Linked DNA regions of Rattus norvegicus. The protein of the gene in region 2 interacts with the protein of the main gene of each other region in a pairwise test. Links are inferred from orthologs where the notes say so. Each region holds a gene or a part of one and is shown on either strand. Other genes may lie near its edges.

Region 1 (4,738 bases), on a different chromosome or scaffold from region 2:
TTTTATTCTTTTAAAGGTTTATTTATTCATGTATTTCTATGTCTATGAGTGCTCTATCTGCATGTACACCTGCATGACTGAAGAGGGCATCAGATCCCATTACGGAACTACTACTGGCTGCTGGGAATTGAACTCAGGACCTCTGGAAGAGCAGCCAGTGCTCTTAACAGCTGAGCCATCTCTCTGGCCCACTTTGGGTTTTGTTTTGTTTTTTGTTTTTTTTGTTGTTGTTGTTGTTGTTGTTTTTTGGAATGTAGGCTGTAGGCTCGAACAAAATTTCTACTCCAGCTGTCACTAAGGTCTCTCCATCCTGATCAAAGAAACTGAAAGTAACCAGCTACAATTTACACTTTTCTCACCTTTCAAACTGCAAAGAAGAGAAAAGTAACTTTCTTTCTACACTTCTGAGGACCTGGCACTAGCTAGTTCATCGGCTGAATCACGAGGAAACGCCTCTTCCACAGACTGGGAAGAGTTCAGATGTAAAAGTTCTGTTCTGGAACCAAAATGCCTTCTATGGGAACGAACAGCAGCTTTTCCCAACAGCCCTGAGCTCTGGGGCTCTCTGACGAGCGTGTACAGGGGATAACACTCCCCTGGCCAGGCAAGGTATGGATCGTGGTTTATGGATCATGGCAACATTTTTATGCCTCCATAATAAAAAAGACAAATAACTAGTCCTGGGAGCTGAGAAACATCCTTTTAAATGTTTGCTTGCTCTAATAACGAGGGGGTAATTAATAATGACTATTTATGGAGCAAGTACTGTGTAGCAAATAAACGCTGTCCTAGGTTCTTTACAATGGGTTCTATACAAATAGGGCATTCCCGTTAGCCTTCGGATGATTCTGAGGGAAGAGATTTTATTCCCCTATGAAGGAAACTGAAGCTGAGGTAGACTGCGACTCCTGCAGGTAAGAGGATCTGAACGACGATGATGATAAAAGTAAAATAATAACAACAATGATAAATCATGATGACCCGGACTCCAAAATTCTCGCCGCCAAGGCTCCACGTTTCAAAATGAAAAGAGGAAGCCAGAGCTTTGGAGAAACTGAAGAGTCCACCTACTCCAGCAAAAGTAATGCTTTTGGGCCGTCAAGACAGCTCAGCAGATAAAGATGCTTCCCCCTAAGCCTGATGACCTGAGTTCAATCCCTGAGATCCGCATGGTGGAAGGAGAGAACTGACTCTTGTAAATTGTCCTCCTCTGACCTCCACTTGAACACTGTGACATGCACAAGTGCACACCCTTGGAGACACACACACACACACACACACACACACACACACACTAATTAAACAGATAAATAAATGTAATTATTTAAAGTAGTACTTTTTAAAAAGTTGACTTCCCATAGGCCAGTAGAAGAAATAAAGGAAACAAAAGACCATTAGTGCACCACATCTGGCCGTCCAAAGGCACAAAGATCGCCCATCTCCCACTGCCCTCACCCCTGCTTCCTGACGTAACCAGTTTTTCCCCCCACCGATTATTATCTCAGGATATCAAACTGTCATGATCCCTCTGTAGCAAACTCCCAGAGAAGAGCAGTCAGCGCGACTGGAGAGCTCGCTCAAGCAGGAAGGAAAAAGAAATCAGTGGCAGGAAGCGGAGCTTATCTAAAAACACGGTGTCACTGTTCAATGTGTGAACACCGTTAACCCCCACAGCACTTCAAACCAAAGCTACCCTTGCCTCCCCTGGTATTATATTAATACGAGTTGCTAAAACCTGGTCCCTAAACTTTCTCCACGTGTCTAATGACAGCTCAGAAAAGTTACACAGCCAAGGTTGACTCTCGGTTCTCTTTCACTTAAAGAGAGGGGGCTGTGTGCAGCTCAGTGGTAGAGCGTCCTCAATAGTGTGGAGAGAGATGGAGAGAAGGAAAGAGGGAGAAAGAAGAGAGGGAGGAAGAAGGGGAGGAGAGAGAGGGGGGAGAGAAAGGAGGAGGGTAAGAGATCGAGGTCACAAGTCAAAGGAGTACACCTGAACAAAAAGACTTACAGGCAAATCACTAAGGAAAGATAACACTTGAGGGCCATGATCAGACACAAATTCTAACACCAAGCAGCCTGTGACTGGCAGAAATCTTAAACCCAGTAGTGAAAACACATAGGGCTTTCACTTTTCAGGACACCACCCAAAACAAACTGAGCCAGTAATCCAAAGGCTGACTGACAGACAGACAATTGTTCAGAATGTCAACATACACCAAGAAGAGAAAGAAACACTAAGAAAATAAGTCAGTCACTCAGGAGGCCTGCTCTCCAACAAAACTGAGGATTCAGAGAATTTAATGCATCTACACTAAAAGCACATCACTTCTCAGGGATTGCGCAAGTGATTAGAAAATGTCAGAAGTAACTTACTCTCCACCCTGTGGCCACCCTGTAATAATTTCTAATGAGAAAGGACCAACTCAAGACAAAGTAAGGTCAGGCTTGAGAATTCCCCCTCACTTTCCCTTGCTCATACCCTGCAGGCCTGCCCCATCAGAACCCCTGGGGAGTACAAAAAGAAAACAGGAAGGTGATGGACTGGGACCCAAGGCCATGGGGCCATCCACCCTCATGCAGGCAGCCACCCATGCTGTTGGAGACCCCTGAGTAGTTCGGTACAAAGTCGAAAGCGGTCTGCAGGTGGCCCTCCAAGGCCAGACTGACAATGTCAACTCGCCCAACTCCTCTGCCCCTCACACCGGGCTCCCTGACACCTCCAAGCTGAGGTTCCCCGCCCCCAGACCCTAGACTGCACCCCACACCCAAGCTGGCCAGGCTCCTCTGATTGACAGCTGCTCTAGCCTGGGCTACCCCGACACCAGCCCTCCGGCCTCGGGGGCGCCCCAAGACGGCGGGATTCAGAGATCAAGATCTGGAAGGCTTTGGGTCCAATCCCCACTCCCCTCAGCGTCCTGGACTCACCTCCCCGGCAGCTTGGCGCTCCTCTTCCAGAACTGCTTGCTGTTCTCGGCGGCCATCGCTCTGGCCCGGGGGAAGGCCTGGTCAGTGGGTCACGGGGGCGCCCCGCGACAGGCCCCCGGGACCCCGCAATCTGAGGGCCAGCCCAGGCCGCTTCCCCGCCGCCGGTCACCCGCTCCCAGCTCCTGGGGGCGCCATCTTGGATGTGGGCACTCCCCCCGCCCAGCGCCGTTGCCATTGGTGGGCTGTGCAGGCCGGTGAGCGGATGGACCAATAAGGATCCGGGATCCTGCCGGCCGCTGAAGCCCCGCGGCAACGTCATGGGCTGGGCACACAGGTGGGCCGGGAAGGCGGGGCTTAGATGGGCAGGAAGGCGGGGCTGAAAGTTCCTACTCCCCGGAGGCAGAGAACCAGGTAAAAAAAAAAAAAAAAAAAAAAAAAAAGGAAAGAAAAGAAAATAGAAAAGAAAAAAAGAAAAAGACCTGCTGGGAATGGGAAGAAGGAGATGGGACTGTTGCCTTTGATGGGCTGAGGTTCTGGGGTTTTCCTGGAGGGGAGAGGGAAGGAGAAACCATAACATTTATATACATTAGTCTTAAGTAAGGTCTCATGTAATTATGGAGACCATTTTTGAGACCTCAATGGCACCCAGGGTGGTTAGCCCCCTCCTTGTTCCCTTAGGATCCCAATTTCTTAGACGATAGCTCCGGCCAGACCCCAGGGCGGGGAACTATTGTATGAATAGCAGTTGATTGATCAGAGTTTCCCTCTCTTCCGCTAACTGAACTTCGTGATGTAATCCCTCCTTCGGGTCTTACTCTTTCTGCTTGTGAGGATCGAGGTACTGAGAAGTCGTACTTAGGAAATACTGTTTTACCCTCCAAGTACCGTTTTTCTCTAAGGGTTGTTGGACATCTCCATGGCAACGATCAGGAAGATGGAGAATCTACCCCAATAGCCTCAACCCCTTTATTAACCGGTTATAAATCTTCCGTCTACAGATTAATTTTTCAATCTAATTTCGACTCGAAATGAGATCTGGTTTTAGCATGTTGTCTCCTTTGGGTGTCATGTTAATGACTACCTCTCTTTTTGGAGTGTGTCCTGGGACGACACTTCGAGGGAAGATGGAGATTTTCTACCCACCCCAAAAAATTTTTGTTCAGACAAGGAACTGTAGATGTGTGCAGGTTGCCCCCCCCAATCCATCTCTGTACTAACACCCTGTTTTCTAAATATTAAAAAAATATTACATTTATTTGTGCGTGCGTGCATGCGTGTGGGCGTGCGTGTGTGTGTGTGTGTGTGTGTGTGTGTGTGTGTGTGTGTGTGTGTGTAAGTGTGGAGGGCAGAGGACAACTTGCAGTTTTCCGTTTTCCCACCATTTAGGTCGGAAGAAATCAAACTCAGGTCCTCAGGCTTGGCAGCAAGCCCCTATACCCACTGAGCCATCTTGCTGGCCCAACATATTGGAGGATTCTCAAGGCTCCTTCTTTTCCCACTAAAAGAAAGACCTGCGGGGTTGGGGATTTAGCTCAGTGGTAGAGCGCTTGCCTAGCGAGTGCAAGGCCCTGGGTTCGGTCCCCAGCTCCGGAAAAAAAAAAAAAAAAAAAAAAAAAAAGACCTGCTTCTATATGTCCTCTGGTGACATCTTTCTACATAGATATTACTCCCAGTTTTCAGGCTTCTTTTGCTTGCTAATTTTAAAATAGGACTGTGAGCCTGGTGGGGGTTAAAAGCATGTGCTGCTCTTGCAGAGGACCTGAGTTCAGTTCCCAAGTACCACAGCAGGTAGCGACTCACAATGGCCTGTAAC
Region 2 (4,623 bases):
GATAGGTGCAAAGCGTAATGGATTATTTCTGGTTGTTTTCCCTTTGTGAGATAGGTTGGGTTTTTTTTTTGTTTGTTTGTTTTTTGTTTTTTTGTTTTTTTGTTTTTTTTTTTTTTTTTGGAGCGGAGGACCGACTCAGGGCCTTGCGCTTGCTAGGCAAGCGCTCTACCACTGAGCTAAATCCCCAACCCAGTGAGATAGAATTTTTATGTTGCACAGGCCGGCCTCACCTTTCTGGGTTCAGGTGACCTTTCTGCCTCCTGAGAAGCTGATCCCCAGGGTTTGTTTGGGTTTTAGAATAGGTCGAGGTAGGAAAATTTAGGCATAAGTGAGGGAAATATTTGGCAACAGGAGTACTTTAGATTGTCACTAGGATGCGGTGTTGGGACATAACTTGAAAGGTATTATTGGAAGGGGCTGGCCTGGTCCAGTGCAGGGACTGAGAGATGGCTGCAGGATTCTGGGGACTTGATGGAACTGGGAAGGGCCAACACTTGGGACAGTTGAGAAGTTGCTGGAACCCGGATCGGTCTGGGTCTTGTTCAGAGCTGGAACTGAGATAGATGGTGGGTGGACCAAAATGGCGCTGGAACAGGGACGAGGTGGTGCTGGGCACAACTAGCAGGTTGCAGGGACCAGGATGGAGCTGGATGGCAGCTGATTCTGGAAATAGGAGTGACATTTTGTGATGGACAGAGGTCAGTGGAGTCTGTCTCAGCAGCTCCTCCTAGTGGAGCAGTTGCTCAAATCCTTGCAAGGAATTAAAAAAAAAAAAAAAAAAGTCTTACAAAGTAGCTTCCGCTGGCTTACTTTTCAAAACTGACAGATCAGCCTCAGCCTACTTCAAGTGCAGGGATTAAAGATGTGCTCAACCACACCCAGCAAAAGGGGCTGTCTTTAGATTCTTGAGCAGACTCAGAATTGCTACAGCCTGCATGGGCAGGGACATTCAGGACAGACCATATTAAATATTGCTCTGCCTTGCCTTGAACAGATCAGTGGGCAGGAACCAGCATTCCTGCACTGCCTGTCTGCATAGAGCCAGAAGACTGTGAGGATCAAGCACCAGTACCAGGAAAGTCATCATCTCAGCACTTCAGTAGGGTAGGTACTACACAGAAAACAGCGGGGTGAGCATCTATTTTGGGAGTAGCCTTTAACTGTAGCAAAGAGCTGGTTCAACGTGTTTCCTGCCAAGATTCACAGACCGCAGGGTAGGGCCATACCTGGGATGACAGTTGTCTGTTTACTTTCTGGGGTTATTTTTGCTTTTAATTCCAGATTCCATACTATGTAAACCCATACGCTTGATTTATCAGCCCTCCTCAGTCTCTGCCCTATCCTGCTGTCCATACCTGTGGCTAAGATGCTTTATTACTTGGAGGACCATGACAGCACCTGTTGTCCTTCAAAGGCCTTAATCTATTGTAGAAGCCCAGATTTACACTGTTCCTCTGTCCATGCCTACACTTTAGCTTGTCATATGTTCTTTGCACCCAGCACTGTGATCACATCTGCTGAGTTCCAGTCATCTTTCTTACCTGTTGAGCACTTCTTCAGGAGGAGGAGAGTTTTCTATGTGCTGCCAGTCTTGGACCTAATAAGGAATGGGCTAAATCCAATACAGCACTACGTGGGTGGCAGAGTGTTCTCCTGTTCTGTCCTCCACTGGGTCTTTTCCAGTACTCTCAGGTATGCTCTTTGCCTCCTGACATTGGCATTTTCCCTCCAGGTACTTGCAGAATATGGAGTAGCGTCCCTGGACTTTCAAGGAGGTTGCTGCAACTGGAGGTCAGCAGGGTTCAGTGAGGTTCCGGAAACTTTCTGTGATTGCACAAGACTGAATGTCTGGGAGGAGGAAAGGTGATGGGAATCATTAAGTACCACCTTAACTTCATTTGCATTTCAGGTTGTGGAAACCAGGACATCACTGCCTTTCTGTATGGCATTGGTTTAGAATCTTTGAGTGCTAGTGTTAGGTCTGCCCATAGAGGGAGGGAACAATGGCTGTAGCTCTATTAGATGACTGGTGTAAGGGGATGGATCTGGACCCCAGGAAGGCTGTACTCATTGTGGGCATCCCCGTACAGTGCACTGAAGCTGAGATAAAGGATGCTCTGAAAGAAGGCTTACCTCCTTTGTGTGCACACAAGGTGATAGGCAGAATGTTCAGGAGGGAAGATGAAGCTAAGGCAGTCTTAATTGAACTGACTGAAGTTGTCGATTATACTATGATGCCTACTCATATACCAGCAGAGGGTGGGGCCTGGGAAGTGGTTGTCAAACCCCGTAGCCCAGATGATGAGTTTATCAATAAGTTGATCTACTTTCTGAGAGATGAAGGGCGGAGAATGGTAGATGTGGCCAAAGCCCTGGGGTTTAGCACTGTCCCTACAGGGAGAATGGAGCTAAAGAATTTAGACCAAGACAAACCAAAAGGCTTGAAGTCTCTGTGCAGTAATGGCACATGTTACCAAAAACTAAAAGTGTTTTCTGGCAGTCCCTTTCCCGGCCCAGGAGAAGAAAGCTTTGAGACCTGGTTAGAGGAGGTCACTGAGCTGATGCACTTATGGCAGGTGTCTGAGAGTGAGAAGAAGCAGCGCCTTGTGGAGAGTCTGCGTGGCTCTGCCCTGTCAATCATGCAGGCACTGTGGGCTAGCAATGACTCCCTAACTGTGGAGCAGTGTTTGAAAGCCCTAAAGCACATCTTTGGGAATAAAGAGGACTGTAAGGTCTTCCAGTTCAGGTTCCTTCAATCTTCTCAGAAACCTGCAGAGAAGATATCTGATTACTTGCTACGCTTAGAGCCCCTGCTGCAAAAAGCAGTACAGCAGAGCCCATTGTCAACACACAGTGCAGATTCAATTCGTCTCAAGCATATCTTATCTAGGGTCTCCATGACCACTGGCCTTCGGGGCAAACTATCTCTCTTAGATCAGCAAGGGTGCCCACCTACTTTTCTGGAATTAATGAAACTCACTCGAGATGAGGAAGAGTGGGAGACCACTATGGTAGGGAAGGAGCAGAATCAGGCAGAAAAGGAAAACAGGACACGTGAGACAGCAGATCAAGTTGTTACCCAGGAGGAGTACTTTAGGGAGATCAGCACCCAGACCATAGGAGAGGAGATCACATCAGTGAAACGGAGGCGACTGCTATGGAGACAGAGTACTGGAGAAGAGGAACATATGAGGGAATCAGGTTTCTGGGCTGAAAATGAATCAGATGAGGAGAAACCCTTTGTTACAATACAGGAATCGGGAAACGAGAGAGGGGCTTGGGCTATGAGCCACCCCAACCCCAAGGAAATATAGGCTCAGGACATGCAGGAATTCCTTCCTCTGGCAGGCAACAGAGATACTGTGACAAAATCATGGGGCAGCCCAGGCAAAGAGCAGGGGACATGGGTGTTGCAGAAGAGCAGCGGGGCCAGGGTAAAGCCCCCAACTTCTTACTACTTAGAAATGATTACAACAAGCAAGGGCAAGTTCCATGCAGCTCAGTGACAACCAAATGCCAGGCCCACAGGGAGTGTCAGAGACAGAACTGGGGAGCTAATATGATAAGCAGACTACAGGGTCATCCAGACTGTAGTTGGCATACTAGTGGGTCACAAGATGGTGACGCTGGGTGCTCTGAGCTAAGGATGCCCACCAGCACTGAAGCAGCACAGGGCATAAAGGAGCCCGCCACGGGGTTGTCTTGGGCAGAGGACACCAGTGCCTGGGAGCAAGTACAGCTAGGGAGGGAGGGAGTACCCAGGAGAGGAGGCCGCAGGATCCAGCCTGTCTTCAGGATCATCTACACTGCTCTAGGGGAGCCCCATGAGGGCAGCACCCTTGAGTCCTTCCGTGAGTGAACTCCCCCCACCCCCGTGAAACCCCCAATCTCCAGACCCACCAAAGGATGGGGGGATGGGGGCTAGGCAGTGCCAACGCAGGGCAGTTTCCCTCTTGGCACCTGACAGGACACCAGTGCCTGAGAAGAGCCCCAGGCTGGGGCACATGGCACCATAGGGTTAATGCCCTCAGCTGGCCTGAGAGCCTGGGAGTGTGCAGGGCAGATTTTGTGCGAACAAACAGGAGATGGAAGAACATCAGGAGGAGGACTCTGTGTGTGTCGGGGTTGGGCTTGGGGGGGGGGGGGCGTAGTTTGTTCTTCTCCCTTTTGTCCAGGGCTGCTGGAGAATTCCAGAGAGCAAGCAGGGAGAGCCAGTGAATTCAACTCTGCCAAGGCTGGCCCCAAACCCTGCCGAGCTGAGGGGTGGTCTGGCGGCATTACCAGAGCGCCATCCTCCATCTGCCATCCATACCAAACGCGTGGACGTTCCAGAAGAGGCCATCTCGAGGGTTCTGCCTACTGCCTGGCTCTCCCAATACGGACGCCCCTTCCCCTTCCCATTACTGTCCAGAGGCTGTACCCCCTGCTCTGGAACCCCGCCTTCTTACCTGCTAAGCTCATAGTGACCCAGTTGCCCAGTGAGTCCCTTCCCCCACTGTGTGCTTACCCACCATTGGCTGCTCCTGTACAAAGCCGTGAGTGAGGTGTGTGTGTTAAGGAGGGTAAGTGGATGCTATGCTCCCACCAGTTCCCTGTGCCTGGACTGTGTATTCTACACTGTTG
Region 3 (4,831 bases), on a different chromosome or scaffold from region 2:
CATTACCAAGAGCAAAGCTCTGTTCTAAACATTTTAATGGCATTAATCCACTTAATCTTTTAGTACCCAAAAGGAGAGTATATACTGTAGCATTTAACAGACAAGAGAGCTGAGTGTTAGGGTTTGAAGGTGAAATGTTCCCTGGAGGCTCAGGTGTACAATCTCACAACCATGGTGGCCATCTGACGGGCTTTGGGGAAGTGACTAGATCACAAGGTCTCTGGTTTCACCAGTGTGCTCACCACTCAAGAAGTCACATGTCATGTGACTGAATTACTTGGAGGTGGGAAACACTAGGAAATGGGGCCAAGGTGGAAGAAGAGTCACCAAGAGTACACCTGCCAGGGCTGTTATCCAGTCCCTGGTCACTGCACTGTTCCTGCTTTCTCCTGCCTAGCTTGAAGTGGGTAGCTTTTCTGTTACCCTTTCTCTCATGCTATCTTTGTCTTCCCAGTCTTAAAAGTAATGGAGAGCAGGCCAGCTGCAAGTGGGCTAAAGCTTGTGACTGTAAGCACAACAAATCCTTGTTTTCTTAGGCATTTTGTCACAGCACCAGGAGTGACTACCACCAGACAGCTCAACTATTTGTTTACATCTGACTCTCTATCAGGCTATAGATTTCTCGAAGGCAGAGTATAAGTTACTTATGACTGTACTGTAGCTCAACCTCTAATATATATGTACTTAGGAAATATTTAAATGTTTGAACAGTTAAATAAATATATAATTGGGATTTGACTCCTCAGTTTCATGTAAGGTCCTTTAAAAACAAACAAAACAACAACCCACCCAGTACACAGGGAACCAAGCCTGGTGGCTTGGGCCTATGGTTCTAGCTACTGAAAGCTGAGGCAGGAAGATCACAAGTTCAAGGTCCTCCTGGGCTACAGAGTAAGTTCAAGGGCAGTTTGGACAACTTAGTGAGACTCTATCTCAAAATTTATAAAAAATAATAAATAAATAAGCAAGCAACATTCTAGAATTGTCTAAGCCTAGACTAGACTAAATTAATCTTTTCCCAGAGCTCAGAATTTGAATTCCCATATCTAAATTCAAAAAATGCAAAAAGAATTAAAAAAACACAAAACCAAAACAATGTGAAACAAATACTCTGTTACTGGTGATGTTCAGTATGTGACGGTACAATGTGACACTGAAAGGATGCTACACAGAAATCAACAGCCTCGTGCTTAAGTACACAGTTTAGCTTCAGAGTTAGTTATACTTGAGCCCAGCTGATCAGTTATTTAACCCTGCATGGGCCATTTAACAGCTCAGTCTCAGTTGCCTTTTCCCTAACACCAGGATAACAGTGCAATTTACATGATAGGATTTGATGCTTGGGTATTAGTTAAGACTTTTTTGTTGGTAGAGGGTTTGATCTCATTAGGTAGCCTTGATTGGCCTAGAACTCACCATGTAGACAAGTTGTCCTCAAACTCAGAGATCCCCTTCCCTCTGCCACCTGAGGTAAGATGAAAGGAATGCAGCCCCACACTGGACTGGGCTAAGCCTTTAATCAAGTTGAGTTATACATGTTTTCATTAAGTATGTTCTACCACAGATACCATGTACTGAGCTTAATACTGAAATATATATGTGTATATGTGTGCATGTGTGTGTTATTATAATTAAAAATTTGTGGGGGCTGGAGAGATGGCTCAGTGGTTAAGAGCACTGACTGCTCTTCCAGAGGTCCTGAGTTCAATTCCCAGCAACCACATGGTGGCTCACAACCATCTGTAATGGGATCTGATGCCCTCTGGTGTGTCGGAAGACAGCTACAATGTACTTACATATAATAAATAAAATAAAAATTTCTATTAGGATAACCCAATAATAAGCCCTTAAACCAATGATTTTCAACCTGTGGGTTGAAACCCGTCTGGGATCAAATAATCCTTTCATGGGTCAACTATCAGATATCCTACATATCAGTTATTTACATTATGATTCTTAACAGTTAGCAAAGTTACAGCTATGAAATGGCAACAAAATAATTTTAAGGTTGGGGGTTACCACAACACGAGGGACTGTATTAAAGGTCTCAGCATTAGAAAGGTTGAAAAACCACTGCCTTGAATGATATTATAAGGCATATATATCACAATATTAAAAAATTCTTCTCATTTACAAAAGCTGCTTCTTACCTTGTTTGGTGAATAAAAATCATCTTGAAATAGTTAGAAAAAGCAGCAAGTACTGCTCGGTGGGCTTTGAAGTAAACGTCTCCAATAGCAACTGTGCAGTCACACAGAAAACCAAATTCTCGCTGCATGTTCAGCTGCTGCAGAAGCACAAGGCTATGGCTAGCAGTATCCATTGTGGCTCTGAGAAAAACCAACATAAATATATGTTTGGAATATATAGATTTTTATATACATACAGACATATATACATATGCACACACATATGTATGTATATACATATACACACACACACACACACACACACACACACACACACATATATTTATACACAAACCTGGTTACATTTCCCACAAACCTAGAGCATTAAGGCCTCATTTTAAATGAAAATATTCAACACAGTTGACTTCGCTATCTAACATTAAATCCCTTAATTATGACACTGAGATAAACTCTACTGGACAGTAAGACAGTCTTTTTAAGCAAGGTAGAAGGTGATTTGTATAAGGGAGAGAAATGCTCGTGCTTTTCCACGTGACCATGTTTCAATTTCCTGTATGTGTACCTTATCAAACCCAGGGCCTTGCCCATGCTAGGCGAGCCCCACTCCTACTCTCCTTTGGTTTAAAGCACCTGGGGCTTTGTCTACCCAGAAACACTACTACTGAGCTCTACCCCACCTTTAGATCACGTTTCTAATGCTGTGACTCGGAGTTACTTGAGATAACTTAGTGAAAACAGGGTTGTAACGTTACCTATAAGTGGGAATAACAGGGCACCCTATCTGGTTGTGAGCCTCAGTCATCTATCTCTCCAGCCTGATGGGCATCCTACCTGGACTAGAACTGTCCATTTTCTTCTGAGATCCTCTGGCATTCCGGAGACACTGGCCTCCTGACTGTCATGAAATGTTTGTGGGACTTAGCCGTCACAGATGTCAAGCTATACCCTTATTTATAAGGGTCTGGGAGCTCATTAGAAAGAACCTACAACCTGATTTCATACACACCAGGATGCAGATTCTCTGTGGTAAGAAAAGGAAGACCTGGTAAATGGGCCTCAAGGGGAAAATCCTGCATGAGGATATGCAAGTAAGTCCTGGCCACAACAGACTGTGTAACTGTAACTGTAAGCAACAAAGACACAGGAAAAGGGGTTGAGGATTTAGCTCAGTGGTAGAGCGCTTGCCTAGCAAGCGCAAGGCCCTGGGTTCGGTCCCCAGCTCTGAACAAAAGAAAAGAAAAAAAAAAAAAAAGACACAGGAAAGTCAGTTTCAGGCAGGTGGGGGCTATTCTTCACTACCACCTTTGCCCTAGCTGTGCAAAGAGCCTGGTGCTTTGGGGAGGAAGGCAGCTGCAATTCAATGGGTGTCACTAAGTGTGGTAGTTAGAATATGTTTGGCTCCCCGTAGATTCATGCATTTCAATGCTTGGTCATAGGTGTGGACTTGTTAGAGGAAGTGCATCACTGTGTAGGTGGGCTTTGAGGTCTCCTATGCTCAAGCTCCGCCCTGTGTGAAATCCTCCTGGCTGCTTTTGGATCAACATGTAGAACTCTCAGCACCTTCTAAAGAACCAATGTCAGTCTGCAGGCTGCCATGCTTCCTGCTACGATAACGGACTGAACGAAACTGTAAGCCAGCACCAATTAAATGTCCTTTACAAGAGTTGCCATGACCATGGTGTCCCCTCACAGCAATGAAACCCTAACACACTAGGGAACTGGGAGAACAAGCTTTGAAAGAGCAGATTCTGAAAGTGAGAATGAGGCTTCTTCTAGAGCCAGAGACCAAGGTCTGAGGTCAATGATTGAGGCTGGGGTAACCATCAAGAGATTAGCAATAGCATGGGTAGCAGACAGGTGAGCAACTCATGATGATATAATAAAGATAGATAACCCATTACAGTGCTTCCTGTGTGTTAGGCACTTTAACCCATTCTATTCTTAACAGAACTTCCCAAGCAAAGGAATATTAGGTTCCCTTTACAAGTCAGGACTGAATGACGGACACCCAAGATCACACTGCTAGTAAGGGGCAGAAAGCTCCAAAGGCCAAATTCCCCACAGTCCCTAAAAGGAAACATGACCCACAGGTTAGAGCAGCCCTGAGAGAGAGCTACTGACAACAACTGCAGAGGAAGGTTAAGGAACATTAACAAGGAGGAGTTCTGGAGAGACCTGGATGTCCTGCTGGTTAAATAGATGATATACAACAACTATATATGCAAAGAAAGTCTAAATATAACAATGATAACATTATTATTGACAAAAGAACCTGCTTTATTAAAAACTGCAATATACTGCTGCGACACAGTAAGAGGCAGAATATACATAAAGAAAACTATGTGAAAGGAGCTGAGCTGTTATTTTACTTTTAAGCATGGGAGAAAACATTTTCCATAACTAACTTCCTGTCTGTGTGTATGTCACTGGAAAGGTTCTGATTCACTCCTCAATAACTCTGGGAAAGAAACTAAGGAGTAGAGGTAAATGGCTGGTGGGGGACTATACTATCTCAACTCAAAATTATAAACAGTTCAGATAACAATAAAAATAAAAAAATAAGGGCTGGAGACACAGCTCAGTGGTTAAGAGCACTGTCTGCTCTTCCAGAGGTCCTGAGTTCAATTCCCAGCAACCACGTGGTGGCTCACAACCATCTGTAATGGGATTCGATGCCCTCT

What was found. The genes of interacting proteins can lie anywhere in the genome.
Region 1: the proteins of Pnma5 (region 2) and Tbc1d22b interact in binary tests that used the Homo sapiens proteins (3 or more experiments, as listed by UniProt). The link is inferred for Rattus norvegicus from reciprocal best matches to the Homo sapiens genes PNMA5 and TBC1D22B.
Region 3: the proteins of Pnma5 (region 2) and Zbtb25 interact in binary tests that used the Homo sapiens proteins (3 or more experiments, as listed by UniProt). The two-hybrid records come from large-scale screens. The link is inferred for Rattus norvegicus from reciprocal best matches to the Homo sapiens genes PNMA5 and ZBTB25.

The regions. Positions count from the first base shown.
Region 1 is NC_086038.1:7,619,104-7,623,841, reverse strand, and holds the start of Tbc1d22b (TBC1 domain family member 22B), read right to left. Parts: upstream 3,017-4,738; 5' UTR 2,982-3,016; coding exon 2,926-2,981; intron 1-2,925. Other genes in the region: Tmem217 (transmembrane protein 217), read left to right, coding at 3,284-3,336. UniProt on the Homo sapiens protein: May act as a GTPase-activating protein for Rab family protein(s).
Region 2 is NC_086039.1:155,922,436-155,927,058, reverse strand, and holds Pnma5 (paraneoplastic antigen-like protein 5), read left to right. Parts: upstream 1-2,003; coding exon 2,004-3,314; 3' UTR 3,315-3,928; downstream 3,929-4,623.
Region 3 is NC_086024.1:100,816,677-100,821,507, forward strand, and holds the start of Zbtb25 (zinc finger and BTB domain-containing protein 25), read right to left. Parts: upstream 3,017-4,831; 5' UTR 2,982-3,016; intron 2,331-2,981; 5' UTR 2,324-2,330; coding exon 2,151-2,323; intron 1-2,150. UniProt on the Homo sapiens protein: May be involved in transcriptional regulation.